Linked DNA regions of Saccharomyces cerevisiae S288C. The protein of the gene in region 1 interacts with the protein of each later gene in a biochemical or structural test. Each region holds a gene or a part of one and is shown on either strand. Other genes may lie near its edges. The genes, in order: ROD1, STE2, YPK1 and CNA1.

Region 1 (4,988 bases):
TTATATTCTCTCAAAAATACGTTCGTATAACTGATTAATCCTGTTTTTCTAATCACTATTTTAATGTTTCAATTGAGGGATTTTGCCTTCATACAATTGTTGAGAGAAATTTTCCAACAAGTATGGGAAATATGAGCAATTCTTATCTTTTAAAAACAAGAACTGGTCCGATATTATTCACCTCAAACATATTGGACGAGATCATTTTTAAAACGTTAGGGGTGGGGAGGATATCAATAAGTTTTCATAATTATGTTAACCTTCAAGCCATAAAACCGAGTAAGACCACTTAACAAAATCTATGAGAAGCCTTGCGGCAGAATCTGACAACTTCAGTGAAATTTTTTTGTGATTATAGAAGCATAAACTACAACGCCGAATTGTTTTACTTTATAGCAATTATGAGGTAGTATTATAACATTATATTATCATTTTTCAAGTGGTATGAGGTATGAAAGTACTCTATCAAAGTATATATGCTTAACTGTACAAACGTGTATGAAGTATTGCTCATATCTTTTTGTCGAAATTTCGAAGACAAAAAATAAAGCAGTCTATGAGCGATCCCGTTTTGTGAACATCTCCATTAAATTAGCAAATGAACCTGTTCCTTGTCTTAATGGTGAGTTGCTATTGTTGCTCCGAACTGACGATGAGCGTGACCTTCGATTGTGGGTTGCGCTCGTATAGTTTTCCTCTTCTCTTGGCTTATTAGCGTCAGATGTAGAATCAGTTTTATCAAAATGTGAATTGTTCTTGGAACTTGAATTACTAGTGAAAGATGTTGTCATATTAAACGGAAAATGTCTGCTTCCTGTGCTGCTTTTTGCTGAAGTGAAAGAGAGATTTAGATTAAATGAACTATCTGTGTTGTTTCTCGCCAACTGCTGCAATGATACTGAGGATCCGCTATTATTCCTTGGTAATGGAGAGTGGGATAAATGTGTCCTACTAGACGATCTTTTCAGATTATTGGAACTCTTGCTCGAGCCTGGAAGTGGCAACAAAGAGGATGTAGACTTGTGATGAAGAATTTGTGGCCTTTCTAGTTCAATTTTTTTATTTTCTTGAACTCCAAGTTCTTCCTCGGGATAAGCCGGTGGAAGATCCTCACCAATCATATCAGATTTCATTGCTTTATCATACGAGGGAACTCTGCTTAAATCTGTCAGTTCCAAATCGTTCTTCAGCGATGTAGAAGATGTTTGGCGACTATATGAGTTACGCCTAGATAAATGTGCAAAGCTTGGTGTCAGTGAAGGACTATTCAATCCAGCATTAATGATGTTATTATATCTATTTGCAGAAGGAGAGTTATTGTTCCAATTTTCACTAATTGTTAGATTACTATTAACCAGATTCAGGTTACTATTGTTAACGCTGTCCCCTCGAGAGTCACAATTATTTAGGCTATCATCTTCAATCTTGATTTGAGGATTTGGTGCCAAAATAGGATTATTGCTATTGTTACTATCCGATATATATAGGTTTTGAATATTGTGAATTGCCTGTGATTCGACGGCACTTGAAGAAGCTGATGCTGAAGTTTCGTCTTCATTAGTTACCTCGCCATACACTCGATCGTAAACGTGATTGCCGTAGTTGGGAGGTACCATCAAACTAGTTACCATAGTTGTGTCAGCGACTGCGGTAGCCTCTGCATCAGTACTATTGATATTTAAAGTAGAGCCAGATACTATGGTTGGCATTGAAGACAATTGTAACGCAGAAGCAGATCTTTGAAAAATCACATCTTCTTCACTATCGTCTACAAAGTTTTTGCTGCTGAATGAATTATCGTGCTGACTTGTTACTTGATATGAGGGTCCAAACGTTTTGAGCGTTCTTTCAATAACATCGGAGGTCTTTACATTGACTGGAACAAACGGTGAAATGAATAATTGGACAGGCAGTGCCGCACGCAATTCTGAAATATGACCGTCCGGATTGAGTAAACTTATAGTGAACTTGATCTTATGACGGACTTTGATATTAGATAAAATGCGACAGTCTTGGGAGCATTTAGTCAGGCTTGCAGGTATGTTTAATAAAGCTCGAACTTCCCATTTATCTTGAAATTCCCCTGTGTCCGTATCAACCCCTTCGTCGGCAGCTTCATTTAGGCTCCTCTTCTTCTTTATTTGGGCAACGTGCTTCAGGGGATCTTTTAGTTTTAATTTAGCCACCATTCTTTCTTGGTTGATAACCCCTCCATAGCTACCACAATACTGGGAATTTTCCACCAAACTGATCCTAACAGGGCCTAACTTCAATCCTTTTAATATAGGAACAATTAAAATATTGATCATGGTGGAAGAGCCAATGGCAATTGCCTTAGTTGGAATGGAGATCGTATAATCGACTTTTTCAGGCCATGAGTTATCCACTGATACTGTTTCAGATAACTCGACTGCATCTATAGCTAACGTTCGAATAACTCTTAGATGTTTTTTACAGATCAAGTCGGGCTGCTTAGGTCTCTCGATAGTAGCTTCCAGAGCATAAGTGACGGCAGCATTTGGTAGGCCTTCTACACTTTCCACTAATGACCCAGGAATAATCGCGCTGAAAGGGAATTCGTAGTTACCTTTTACTAAGGTGTGATAGTTTTTGCTTGCGCTTGTCTGCCCATTACTTGATATCAATGATGCAGTAGAAAGGGCTCTTTTTCTCTTTGGCAATGCTGCTAAATTTGTTGAGGATTTACTAGAAATTGTTATTTTACCATTATTATGATTATCGTACAAGTTTTGGAAATAACTTTTTATATTAAAATCATCCCAAAAATGAGAATATATGTTTCTCTCAAACTTTGAGTATCGCTTATGCGGCCCATGAACAGTTTGTAAAACCGTTGGAATATTTAGTCTCAACCTACCAAAAAGTCTCAAAGCCAAAGACTTGATTTGAATTGGCTCAGTAATTGACAATACTATAGTTCCAGATAGTAGGACAGAAGATGCCTCATCAGGGGGGCCTTTTATCAGTAAAACATCATTGTCCAAATTTCTAAGTCTGATGTCAAATAGTAATGGCTCTTTTGAAGGTCGAGATGATGATGAAAACATTATTACTTATGGAGGAAGAGAAGCGAATGGTGTGATGAAATCGCGTTGATTTCTGTATGGTTGTTAATTAGTTTTAGATCTGCATCTTTTTGACGTCTATATTTGAATAGGGGACCCCTGTTCTGTTTTTTTCGCTTAATAAAAAAACGCTGAAAATTGCAAGAGCCCAGCCATACAAAATAATTTATAAAAACTGTGAACAGGAAGCTTCTCAGTTTTTATCGGAGAACCCATCTCTGGGGTTAGACATTCATCCGCATTAAAACTCCTATTTTTACTCGTAGTTTTCGGTCTTCAAAATAAAGCAGATTCCTTAAAGTTAGATGCTTTTATTCAACTTAATCAGTAATGTAACATAATATGTACCAAGGGACTCGACTCTTTTTGACCCATTGTTTAATTAATATGTGTTATAATTACAAGAATAATGCATTGTATGGACATATCTAAAAATACATAGAATAATTACATAAGGTCGAAAGTTGTGAGTGAATACATTAAAGTAGTAAAACTTCACCTATAACATTAGATTGCCCAACGCTGACTACTGTCTTCTAGATATGGAACTTGTTACTCCTTTCTAATAGTTTTCTTCGAAGGGCACCTTTTTTAGCATATGCGCGCAGTTTAGTTTGCAGTCGGGTAGGGCCAAAATTAGAATATCTTTTGTTACTTCCATTATCGCGGTGATCATTGCGGGCTTGTAGTGATTTGATTCGATTCATAATTTCATCCTTTTTAGACATATCAGGTTCCTGACGTGTGATTACTTGATTTTTCAATGCGTTTAATTTAACATCCAAATATTTAAAGTATAGTTTTCGTAAAATTTGTTTGTCATTGATATCTGTAAAAGTAGAGTTCACCTCCCAAGTGGAAACATCGGAAGCGTGGAAAAAGTTTGGAGTCTGTGTAGATGGTATATCTTTGTACCAGTCTCGTTTCATCATGTCAGAAATATATTTACGGGATTCGGTGTCGAGAATATCGTTCTTTTTTAAAGCAAAATCAGGTAGATGTGTAGTATTAGGATGATGGTGATAGAAATGCTTGACATTTACTTTAAATCCAACTAAGGAATTCAGGTGTTCCTCCAAAAGATTTTCGTTATATGAGCGGAGGTTTAGTAGCTCCTCTGTTAATTGTTCGTTCGAAGTATCCTTTACCAATAAAGATTTATCCTCGTACTCAGGTGACAACGGCAGGGCTACAATATTTAGCACCGGTTCGTTAAAGAAGCGGCCACTTTTGGATCGTTTTTCTTCAACTTCGGTTTTAAGCATTATTTTGCATTTTTCCCATTTCGTATTACTTGAGTTAAGTAACTGCTCAACGTGTTTCAAAATATTACTGAACAGATTCATAGACATCTTAAATTCCCTATTAGCCACCAAGCAAGCAATTTTCCTATCGTCCCTGTCATAGTGTAGAATGTAGTCCTCCTCACCATATATCCCTTTTGTGATATCATTCTTCTCCTTTAACAAACTGTCGAATTTGCTGTTATACGAAGAATGGATTATATAATCTAATTCGTCCAAAGGTAGATATTGGAATCCAAACATCTTAGAAATATTGTGGTATGCAACGAAAATACCGTCCATTTTGCCAATTCTAGCTTGCAAAGAATACTTTAGAAGGGCAGACCTGATTAGTTCAAAATATTCTCTTTCCAAAGACTCAAATTCCCCATAAACTTTATCTATCTCATATCCAGTTTGGTTGTTATTACTCTCTACATGTGATAAATCGTATCTTATGGCAGAAACTGCTCTTGTCTTCAGATCAAATACACCCGTTCCAGGTAGATTTGGGTCGTACGCGTCCAATTGAGATCTCACAATGAATTCATCTATACTAGAATAGTGATAATTTTCACTTTTTGAACTATTCTTCAGGGACTTTTCCGTTAAAAAGTCT
Region 2 (3,554 bases), on another chromosome or scaffold:
TCTTGCTGGCAGTAGTCGCATCTTTTCTAGTTATTTGCAAGACTTCTTCCCAAAGCGCCTCATCATACAGTTTTTTCTGTAAAACTGTTTGTATAGCACCATGGCGCAGGTCAAAATCGTTCTCGAAGAAATCAGAATTAGCTTCTATTTGCTTCGAAATTTCAGACGCATTTTGCAATAGCAGGTTCTTGTATATGATCAAAGGTAAACGCATAGATTGCATCGATATTGTCATGTCAAATATCTGGAAAAGAATTTTATGAAGATTGTTGTCACCGCTATCTATAGGTTTCAAATTATGTGCAAAGATTGTCAATATTGACCCAATAGCGAAAAGGGGCTCATTTTCGTCAAATTTGAATAGATTATAGAATTTCATGTTTGATTCCTTTATCAATGAAGAGATTACTCTCAATTGCTCAAATGAAAAATCTAGTGAGTTCATCATGAAATCCCTCAGATATAATAGGGTAAATGCTTCGATGCAATAAAACAGCCTTTCCATATCAATTTCTTCTTGCAATGAGAGATTTTCTAGTTCCAGTCCGTTCTCTTTTGTGACATTCCAACTAAAACACATGATGAAAACAGACACAATATCATGATAACCTTGGTAATAGTTCAACGTTGGGTACTTTCTCAATACCCGAGTAATTAACTCCACCAGTAGTTTTCTCAATTGCAGTTTCAAGTTTTTGTCGACAATTCCACCAAAAGACCTTTCTGCATCCAATATCACCTGACCTTCATCTTTATGTTTTTCCACTGGTGTAATGTACTCTGTTGCATCATCAATAAGCAACTGGGACGCCAATAATTCATACCAACAATCTTTTCTTAATGAGTTGTTTACAAACCCCAGAGGCCCTAAACCTATGTACCTCAAAGCTCGGACATCTTTTTTCTCTAATAACTTTGATATAACTTTTCCTTTTTGTTCTTCTGCCTTTCCACTGTCACAACGAGAAAGTGATTCCAGATATGCGTTATAACCTCCCCTTGTCAACGCGTCTTTGTCGTGGCTACTCTGATTAGTATGAAATAATGACCTTAATGGCATCGTATTTTGTTAATTGGCTTGTTCTATGTCATTTGCTAAATTTTCTCTTTATTTCTTTACTTTGCCAATTCAAGATAATCTTCCCTTCCCAGAGAGAAAAAAGGAAAAATTTAGCTATGAAACCTCAATAAGCTTTTTAATACACCAAAGATTCAAGATAAGAGCATAGAACGAACTGTAGAATAGTCCGGATATGTTATCCAATGCCTGCCAAAATGCATTGTCACACGCTGTAGTGCTCGAATAGGTGTTGCAATCCGTCAATATACGTCTTGCTCTGTGGGTAAATGTCTCGTGCATTAAGACAGGCTAGTATAAACGAGAAGAAGTATCCTGCTTTGCAATGAAACAATAGTATCCGCTAAGAATTTAAGCAGGCCAACGTCCATACTGCTTAGGACCTGTGCCTGGCAAGTCGCAGATTGAAGTTTTTTCAACCATGTAAATTTCCTAATTGGGTAAGTACATGATGAAACACATATGAAGAAAAAAGCTTTCCTACATATTCAAGATTTTTTTCTGTGGGTGGAATACTATTTAAGGAGTGCTATTAGTATCTTATTTGACTTCAAAGCAATACGATACCTTTTCTTTTCACCTGCTCTGGCTATAATTATAATTGGTTACTTAAAAATGCACCGTTAAGAACCATATCCAAGAATCAAAAATGTCTGATGCGGCTCCTTCATTGAGCAATCTATTTTATGATCCAACGTATAATCCTGGTCAAAGCACCATTAACTACACTTCCATATATGGGAATGGATCTACCATCACTTTCGATGAGTTGCAAGGTTTAGTTAACAGTACTGTTACTCAGGCCATTATGTTTGGTGTCAGATGTGGTGCAGCTGCTTTGACTTTGATTGTCATGTGGATGACATCGAGAAGCAGAAAAACGCCGATTTTCATTATCAACCAAGTTTCATTGTTTTTAATCATTTTGCATTCTGCACTCTATTTTAAATATTTACTGTCTAATTACTCTTCAGTGACTTACGCTCTCACCGGATTTCCTCAGTTCATCAGTAGAGGTGACGTTCATGTTTATGGTGCTACAAATATAATTCAAGTCCTTCTTGTGGCTTCTATTGAGACTTCACTGGTGTTTCAGATAAAAGTTATTTTCACAGGCGACAACTTCAAAAGGATAGGTTTGATGCTGACGTCGATATCTTTCACTTTAGGGATTGCTACAGTTACCATGTATTTTGTAAGCGCTGTTAAAGGTATGATTGTGACTTATAATGATGTTAGTGCCACCCAAGATAAATACTTCAATGCATCCACAATTTTACTTGCATCCTCAATAAACTTTATGTCATTTGTCCTGGTAGTTAAATTGATTTTAGCTATTAGATCAAGAAGATTCCTTGGTCTCAAGCAGTTCGATAGTTTCCATATTTTACTCATAATGTCATGTCAATCTTTGTTGGTTCCATCGATAATATTCATCCTCGCATACAGTTTGAAACCAAACCAGGGAACAGATGTCTTGACTACTGTTGCAACATTACTTGCTGTATTGTCTTTACCATTATCATCAATGTGGGCCACGGCTGCTAATAATGCATCCAAAACAAACACAATTACTTCAGACTTTACAACATCCACAGATAGGTTTTATCCAGGCACGCTGTCTAGCTTTCAAACTGATAGTATCAACAACGATGCTAAAAGCAGTCTCAGAAGTAGATTATATGACCTATATCCTAGAAGGAAGGAAACAACATCGGATAAACATTCGGAAAGAACTTTTGTTTCTGAGACTGCAGATGATATAGAGAAAAATCAGTTTTATCAGTTGCCCACACCTACGAGTTCAAAAAATACTAGGATAGGACCGTTTGCTGATGCAAGTTACAAAGAGGGAGAAGTTGAACCCGTCGACATGTACACTCCCGATACGGCAGCTGATGAGGAAGCCAGAAAGTTCTGGACTGAAGATAATAATAATTTATGATCAAAATTTACGGCTTTGAAAAAGTAATTTCGTGACCTTCGGTATAAGGTTACTACTAGATTCAGGTGCTCATCAGATGCACCACATTCTCTATAAAAAAAAATGGTATCTTTCTTATTTGATAATATTTAAACTCCTTTACATAATAAACATCTCGTAAGTAGTGGTAGAAACCACCTTTGCTTTTACGAGTTCAAGCTTTTTTCTTGCCATGATCTAGAACTCTCAGGCAATATATACAGTTAATCTTTTTTTACTGGGTTGTAGTTCTAATGTATTGTTTCGAAAAATAGCAACCAGGCACATATTATGTTCACCAAGTGGTGTATCCAGTACAGATTTCTTATTCCATAAATGAAACTGAAAACGGTTAAGTACACAAATAAAATGATGGTAACTTTACCATCCCACGTGTCTAAAGGTACGCTGTTTGGCATTTTGAAAATAGAATTATTTCCAACCAAAAAAATAATTGGTGCCACTGCTAGTATATTGTGATGGGATCTAAATGAAGTTTCCCATTTGATGGCA
Region 3 (4,431 bases), on another chromosome or scaffold:
CCCAGGCGGTCCAGAGAATGATTTAGGTATCAAGTATAATTTACCTAATGGTGGGCCAGCTCCAGAGAGTGTCACTAACGCTATCTGGGAAGCGTCTAAAAAATTAACTCACTATAAAATTATAAAGAACTTCCCCAAGTTGAATTTGAACAAGCTTGGTAAAAACCAAAAATATGGCCCATTGTTAGTGGACATAATTGATCCTGCCAAAGCATACGTTCAATTTCTGAAGGAAATTTTTGATTTTGACTTAATTAAAAGCTTCTTAGCGAAACAGCGCAAAGACAAAGGGTGGAAGTTGTTGTTTGACTCCTTAAATGGTATTACAGGACCATATGGTAAGGCTATATTTGTTGATGAATTTGGTTTACCGGCAGAGGAAGTTCTTCAAAATTGGCACCCTTTACCTGATTTCGGCGGTTTACATCCCGATCCGAATCTAACCTATGCACGAACTCTTGTTGACAGGGTTGACCGCGAAAAAATTGCCTTTGGAGCAGCCTCCGATGGTGATGGTGATAGGAATATGATTTACGGTTATGGCCCTGCTTTCGTTTCGCCAGGTGATTCTGTTGCCATTATTGCCGAATATGCACCCGAAATTCCATACTTCGCCAAACAAGGTATTTATGGCTTGGCACGTTCATTTCCTACATCCTCAGCCATTGATCGTGTTGCAGCAAAAAAGGGATTAAGATGTTACGAAGTTCCAACCGGCTGGAAATTCTTCTGTGCCTTATTTGATGCTAAAAAGCTATCAATCTGTGGTGAAGAATCCTTCGGTACAGGTTCCAATCATATCAGAGAAAAGGACGGTCTATGGGCCATTATTGCTTGGTTAAATATCTTGGCTATCTACCATAGGCGTAACCCTGAAAAGGAAGCTTCGATCAAAACTATTCAGGACGAATTTTGGAACGAGTATGGCCGTACTTTCTTCACAAGATACGATTACGAACATATCGAATGCGAGCAGGCCGAAAAAGTTGTAGCTCTTTTGAGTGAATTTGTATCAAGGCCAAACGTTTGTGGCTCCCACTTCCCAGCTGATGAGTCTTTAACCGTTATCGATTGTGGTGATTTTTCGTATAGAGATCTAGATGGCTCCATCTCTGAAAATCAAGGCCTTTTCGTAAAGTTTTCGAATGGGACTAAATTTGTTTTGAGGTTATCCGGCACAGGCAGTTCTGGTGCAACAATAAGATTATACGTAGAAAAGTATACTGATAAAAAGGAGAACTATGGCCAAACAGCTGACGTCTTCTTGAAACCCGTCATCAACTCCATTGTAAAATTCTTAAGATTTAAAGAAATTTTAGGAACAGACGAACCAACAGTCCGCACATAGAATTATTGGTCTTGAACAAGCACTAATTTTCCAAAGATGTTTTAACTGATCTTAATTTATATGTAGAGGATATATGTAGTATATCTATTTTTTGCTGATTGACTTATCAATTAGCTTCATAATACAACATTGTTTTTGTTTTTCGTTACTCGCGACTTTCTTCGCGGCAGAGCCGCGCTACAGGAAAACAAGATCAAAACATGCCCCTATTGGAAGGCTTAAAAAATGCTTATCCCGAACGAGCCAACGGTAATCAACACTATCGTCATACCAACAACAGTTGAGTTATTTTTCGCTCCCATACTTTTTAGAATTGGTTTGTTTGTGTTTGGTTAAATTTCAAAGCCTTTATATTCTTTGATATAGATTACTCTACAATTTCTTTGTATACAGCGGGAAATTGACACTTCAAAGTTCCTCTCATATCAACAAACATTAATACAGTTCCTGAAAATGTATTCTTGGAAGTCAAAGTTTAAGTTTGGAAAATCTAAAGAAGAAAAAGAAGCCAAACATAGTGGGTTTTTTCACTCCTCTAAAAAGGAAGAACAGCAGAATAATCAAGCAACTGCGGGGGAACATGATGCTTCAATTACTCGTTCATCTTTAGACAGGAAGGGCACGATAAATCCATCAAATTCATCAGTGGTCCCGGTTCGTGTTTCATACGATGCATCCTCATCGACCTCTACTGTACGAGATTCAAATGGTGGTAATTCAGAAAACACGAACTCATCTCAAAATTTAGATGAAACAGCAAATATTGGTTCTACAGGGACACCCAATGATGCCACCTCAAGTTCAGGAATGATGACTATCAAAGTATATAATGGTGATGACTTTATTTTACCTTTTCCGATTACCTCAAGCGAGCAAATATTGAATAAACTATTGGCCTCGGGTGTTCCACCGCCACATAAGGAGATTAGTAAAGAAGTAGATGCTTTAATTGCACAACTGTCCCGTGTTCAAATAAAGAACCAAGGTCCAGCTGATGAAGATTTGATCTCTAGCGAGTCAGCAGCAAAGTTCATCCCATCTACTATCATGTTACCAGGGTCTTCGACCTTAAATCCCTTACTATATTTCACCATTGAATTTGATAATACAGTTGCAACTATTGAAGCAGAGTATGGTACGATCGCTAAACCTGGTTTCAATAAGATATCTACCTTTGATGTGACAAGGAAATTACCTTATTTAAAGATTGATGTATTTGCAAGAATTCCGTCCATTCTTTTGCCCTCGAAGACATGGCAACAGGAGATGGGTTTGCAAGACGAGAAGCTACAGACCATTTTTGATAAAATAAATTCCAATCAAGATATACATTTAGATTCTTTCCATTTGCCCATCAACTTAAGTTTTGACTCTGCAGCTAGTATTAGACTATATAATCACCACTGGATCACATTGGATAATGGCTTGGGTAAGATCAATATTAGTATTGATTATAAACCTTCCAGAAATAAACCTTTGTCCATCGATGATTTCGATCTTTTGAAAGTTATCGGTAAGGGTTCGTTTGGTAAAGTGATGCAAGTCAGAAAGAAAGATACACAAAAAGTATACGCTTTGAAGGCAATCAGAAAATCATACATTGTCTCTAAATCCGAAGTCACGCATACTTTGGCAGAAAGAACCGTTCTAGCACGTGTTGATTGTCCATTTATTGTACCTTTGAAGTTTTCTTTCCAATCACCGGAAAAATTATACTTTGTTTTAGCGTTTATCAATGGTGGTGAGTTGTTTTATCATCTACAAAAGGAAGGAAGGTTTGATTTATCACGTGCCAGATTTTATACCGCAGAATTGTTATGTGCGCTAGACAACTTGCATAAACTAGATGTTGTCTATCGTGATTTGAAACCAGAGAATATTTTATTGGATTATCAAGGCCACATTGCCCTTTGTGATTTCGGGCTATGCAAATTGAATATGAAGGATGATGATAAGACAGATACTTTTTGTGGGACCCCAGAATACTTGGCACCAGAACTATTGCTAGGTTTAGGCTATACAAAGGCAGTAGATTGGTGGACATTGGGAGTCTTGTTATACGAGATGCTCACAGGTCTTCCTCCTTATTATGATGAAGATGTTCCAAAAATGTATAAGAAGATTCTACAGGAGCCACTAGTTTTCCCAGATGGATTTGATAGAGATGCAAAGGATCTATTGATTGGATTATTGAGCCGTGATCCGACAAGAAGATTGGGCTACAATGGTGCCGACGAAATTCGGAACCATCCTTTTTTCAGCCAATTATCATGGAAGCGCCTGTTGATGAAGGGTTATATTCCACCATATAAACCAGCTGTTAGTAATTCCATGGATACTAGTAATTTCGATGAGGAATTCACTAGGGAGAAGCCAATTGATAGTGTGGTAGATGAATACTTGAGTGAAAGTGTTCAAAAGCAATTTGGTGGCTGGACATACGTTGGAAATGAACAGCTAGGTAGCTCAATGGTGCAAGGTAGAAGCATTAGATAGACTTAGTGAATACATTATCAACTAGTTTACTCATGACATACTTTATATAAAAAGAAAGGTTTTCTTTTCCGTTACTTACTGTGTTCAAGATGAAGCAACTGTACCAATGGCGCAATTTAAGTTCTAGGATTTATATTTCGAACGTGGGCAATACTTCACACATGTGTGGCTTGTGTCTCATGGTCATAGCGTATTGCCTCAGCTTATTCTGATTAGATAAAGGATTTCCTCTCTTACCCTTCCGAGATCCGTGTCGATGGGGCGGCAGAAAATAAAAAAAAAAAAAGGTGTTGAAAATTTTCTCCTTGTATAAAAGATATTTTGATGAGCATCTCTCGTTTGCAGTAGCTTCTCCTTTTAAAAATATAAAGGTTGTTTTAATCAGCGTTCGACTTTAAATTAACCCAAGACCCCATTGTTAAAATTCTTACCTTAACCACGAACGGATACATTGTCTGGTAAAGAAATAACTTTTGTGCAAGACAACAGCTGACAAGATGATGGCTTTTGAGAATACAAGTAAACGACCACCCCAGGACTTTGTAGCTCCTATAGATCAAAAAAAAAGGAAGGTCCAGTTTTCCGAT
Region 4 (3,854 bases), on another chromosome or scaffold:
CACGTCAATCATTACAGATAATTTGAATAGTTATATGTTTGAAGAAGAAATTAGTCCCGGCGTTGTAAACAACATAATTGAAAATAACATTTGGGTTGGAACCGACATCCGACTATTTAAGATCGCAAACTTCAGAAAAGAATCTTTTTCATTTCTGGAAATGACATCTTCTTTTTTCAAGAAATTTAAATTCATTAATAGCGATAATGACAATTATAATAATAACGAATTTGATGATAATACACAGTTAAGATATACCTCTAGAGGGTTGTATAGATAGACACAAATTTTGACAATCACAAAGAAGAAAAAAGAAACTATTTACATATTTAAACATCTACCTCATGATTATTTATGTACGAAAATTTATAATTTAGTATAATTTAGTATTTTTTGCTTCTTATACTTAGCTTTAACTTAGCTGAACGATTAGACCTTAGCAAACACAAAATATAAAAATATGAAACATAAAAAATACACATGTTGAAGAAAAGTAAAAATCTTCACGTAGCGATGCATTGCCCACCTTTTAAATCTATATTGAAGATCTCCTCTAGAAGTCCAATGTTTAATACGTAACTTTCTTGATATATATTACATATTTTGGATAACTCCACCGAGATTTATCTAATTTTGTTGCTATTTCTTACTGGAAGTGCAAAAAAGCAGCGCACTATCAATTATAATATACAGATTTTGAAGATACTAGTGCTTTCTTCTTCCTTTTGGTTGAACCAATTCAAAACCGTCTTCGTCAACAATTGGTTCAGGTTTAGACGATACTAAGTCAGGTACAACCTCGTCCATCTCTTCATCTTCATCTTCGTCATCATAGTCCTCTACATCTTCATCGTCTTCATCATCATCACCCTCAATATGCACAACTCTTTTTGATTTTTTAGTTCTCTGCTTTTCTTGCCATTCCAAATACAATTTTTCTACCTTATTATAATTTAAATTGAAACAGTCGTTATATATGTTGATGACCTCCACGGCAATCGGTAAAGCCGAGTCGTCTTCAACATTAGTTTCAAATTCATCTATCATTGCATAAAGTAACGTTTCTTCGATTAAAGCGGCGTCAACAACTTTTTCATTTTTGAAAAGGTCTACTACAATCCCTGTAATCCAGTCTCTCTTCTCAGCTGAGTCTGGACCACCCCAACTGTTTTCTACGGCAACATCCAACGCATCCCACTTATAAATAACCATGGAAACACCGAGCTCAAAACGTGCCTGTTGCTTTTCGTCAGAGAACATTAGATTGGTTTTACCTTGCTCAGCCTGAACAAATGCTGTCTCATCAATATATTGTGTGCTCATTGTTCCGTAAGGATTATCACTATAAAAATTTTTCGCAGATTTCTTTGGACTCCACCTTTCTTCCTGTTGCAATAAATACAAACTGTTTGAATCATTTTGATATTCATCTATATCTATTTCAAAATTTTTCATGTCATCGCCTCTTGAAACATGAATTTTCCAATTCTGAAAAAGAACGTACTACTGGGAAACAAAAGGGAAAAATGTATAAATCCTTTAATGTTTTTGAATCAAGAGGCATTATTATAAAAGAACGAAGCAAAGCCTTTAATATTTGCTTTATTAAAGGTATTATTCAAAGAAAAGTTTTTTTAGATTCTTTTTTTTTTGACGTATTAGCTCAGCTGCCATAAAACACTCTCAACGCCAATGTCGAAAGACTTGAATTCTTCACGCATCAAAATCATTAAACCTAATGACTCTTACATAAAGGTTGACCGGAAAAAAGATTTAACAAAATACGAATTAGAAAACGGTAAAGTAATTTCTACTAAGGACCGACCTATCGCTTCTGTACCTGCCATAACAGGAAAGATACCAAGTGATGAGGAAGTATTCGACTCCAAGACGGGATTACCTAATCATTCCTTTTTAAGAGAGCATTTCTTTCATGAGGGTCGACTTTCTAAGGAACAGGCCATAAAAATCTTAAATATGTCAACTGTAGCATTGAGTAAAGAACCCAATCTACTAAAACTCAAAGCGCCAATTACTATATGTGGTGATATTCACGGGCAGTATTATGATTTATTGAAACTGTTTGAAGTTGGCGGTGACCCCGCCGAAATCGACTATTTATTCTTGGGGGATTATGTTGATAGAGGTGCATTCTCTTTTGAGTGTCTGATTTATTTGTACTCCTTGAAGTTGAATAATTTAGGGAGATTTTGGATGCTAAGAGGTAACCATGAGTGTAAGCACTTGACCTCTTATTTTACTTTTAAGAATGAGATGTTGCACAAATACGATATGGAAGTTTACGATGCTTGCTGCAGATCATTCAATGTCTTACCATTAGCAGCTTTAATGAACGGACAATATTTTTGTGTGCATGGTGGTATCTCTCCAGAGTTAAAATCAGTAGAGGATGTTAATAAAATTAATAGATTTCGAGAAATCCCATCTCGTGGTCTCATGTGTGACCTACTATGGGCCGATCCTGTCGAAAATTATGATGATGCAAGAGATGGTAGCGAATTTGATCAGAGCGAGGATGAATTCGTACCTAACAGTTTGAGGGGTTGCTCTTTCGCCTTCACTTTTAAAGCATCATGCAAGTTTTTGAAGGCAAATGGTTTGTTATCTATTATTAGAGCACACGAAGCACAGGATGCTGGGTACAGAATGTATAAAAACAATAAAGTAACAGGCTTCCCGAGCTTAATAACCATGTTCAGTGCGCCAAACTACCTGGACACATATCATAATAAAGCTGCTGTGTTAAAATATGAAGAAAACGTCATGAACATCAGGCAGTTTCACATGTCTCCGCACCCTTACTGGTTGCCTGATTTTATGGATGTTTTCACCTGGTCACTACCTTTTGTTGGCGAAAAAGTTACTAGCATGTTAGTGTCTATATTAAACATATGTAGTGAGCAGGAACTTGACCCAGAATCGGAACCCAAAGCTGCGGAGGAGACTGTAAAGGCAAGAGCAAACGCAACTAAGGAGACCGGCACCCCATCTGATGAAAAGGCGTCATCAGCGATATTAGAAGATGAAACCCGAAGAAAGGCTTTGAGAAATAAGATATTAGCTATTGCTAAAGTTTCAAGAATGTTTTCGGTGCTAAGAGAAGAGAGCGAAAAAGTGGAATATTTGAAAACTATGAATGCCGGTGTCTTACCTCGTGGTGCTCTAGCTCGTGGGACTGAAGGTTTGAATGAAACGCTAAGCACTTTTGAAAAGGCTAGAAAGGAAGACCTTATTAATGAAAAATTACCACCATCTTTATCGGAGGTTGAACAAGAGAAGATTAAATACTACGAAAAAATATTAAAGGGAGCGGAGAAAAAGCCACAACTGTGATAAATCTCATTTTATTCTTTTTTATTCCTATGAGATGCAACATCGAATTCTTGTGCTACTGTCACGATCCGCAAGAGATAATATGAACTAACAAAATACGAAGAAAATATAGATCATTTCCAGTCTATTTCTTGATTTCCATACTTAACTGCGAGCAGAATAAATATAAACACATATTTTTTAGTTTTATTTTATTATTAATGAACCCTAGTTACCAATTAGTTATGTAAACGCTTTTCGTAAGAATGTAAGTTATGAACACCACCTTCTAGTTGAGCAGAAGCGGTTCTAAATTCAAATCTAACTTTACCGCTTTGGACATTTTCCTTTAATAAAGTTAGGGACTTGTAACCAATGTCTTGACAAGAATGTTGTAAACCGTTGTACAAATATGGAATAAATTTCTTGATAGAACCTTTGTCAACGACAGCACCGGAGACACCTTGTGCGACCAAAACACTGTCTGATTCGGAAAAGTAACGGGAGGTAGATGCATTACC

The links.
Region 2: the proteins of ROD1 (region 1) and STE2 form a complex in vitro, tested with the Saccharomyces cerevisiae proteins (one study listed by BioGRID).
Region 3: of the proteins of ROD1 (region 1) and YPK1, one has a biochemical effect on the other in vitro, tested with the Saccharomyces cerevisiae proteins (2 studies listed by BioGRID).
Region 4: the proteins of ROD1 (region 1) and CNA1 form a complex in vitro, tested with the Saccharomyces cerevisiae proteins (2 studies listed by BioGRID, with this or other methods).

Annotation. Positions count from the first base shown.
Region 1 is NC_001147.6:362,449-367,436, reverse strand, and holds ROD1 (Rod1p), read right to left. Parts: upstream 3,069-4,988; coding exon 555-3,068; downstream 1-554. Other genes in the region: PET127 (Pet127p), read right to left, coding at 3,623-4,988. UniProt on the Saccharomyces cerevisiae protein: Mediates resistance to o-dinitrobenzene, calcium and zinc.
Region 2 is NC_001138.5:80,853-84,406, forward strand, and holds STE2 (alpha-factor pheromone receptor STE2), read left to right. Parts: upstream 1-1,727; coding exon 1,728-3,023; downstream 3,024-3,554. Other genes in the region: GTPase-activating protein GYP8, read right to left, coding at 1-1,060; BST1 (Bst1p), read right to left, coding at 3,293-3,554. UniProt on the Saccharomyces cerevisiae protein: Fungal class D1 G-protein-coupled receptor that acts as an alpha-factor pheromone receptor performing pheromone-dependent signal transduction involved in cellular conjugation, mating projection assembly, and in cell fusion.
Region 3 is NC_001143.9:203,906-208,336, forward strand, and holds YPK1 (serine/threonine protein kinase YPK1), read left to right. Parts: upstream 1-1,801; coding exon 1,802-3,844; downstream 3,845-4,431. Other genes in the region: phosphoglucomutase PGM1, read left to right, coding at 1-1,348; RRN3 (rDNA-binding RNA polymerase I transcriptional factor), read left to right, coding at 4,342-4,431. UniProt on the Saccharomyces cerevisiae protein: Plays an essential role in the proliferation of yeast cells. Involved in a signaling pathway, required for optimal cell wall integrity, that acts in parallel with the PKC1-SLT2-dependent pathway.
Region 4 is NC_001144.5:1,003,847-1,007,700, reverse strand, and holds CNA1 (calcineurin catalytic subunit A), read left to right. Parts: upstream 1-1,692; coding exon 1,693-3,354; downstream 3,355-3,854. Other genes in the region: ECM30 (Ecm30p), read left to right, coding at 1-280; TSR2 (Tsr2p), read right to left, coding at 706-1,323; IMP dehydrogenase IMD3, read right to left, coding at 3,573-3,854. UniProt on the Saccharomyces cerevisiae protein: Calcium-dependent, calmodulin-stimulated protein phosphatase. This subunit may have a role in the calmodulin activation of calcineurin.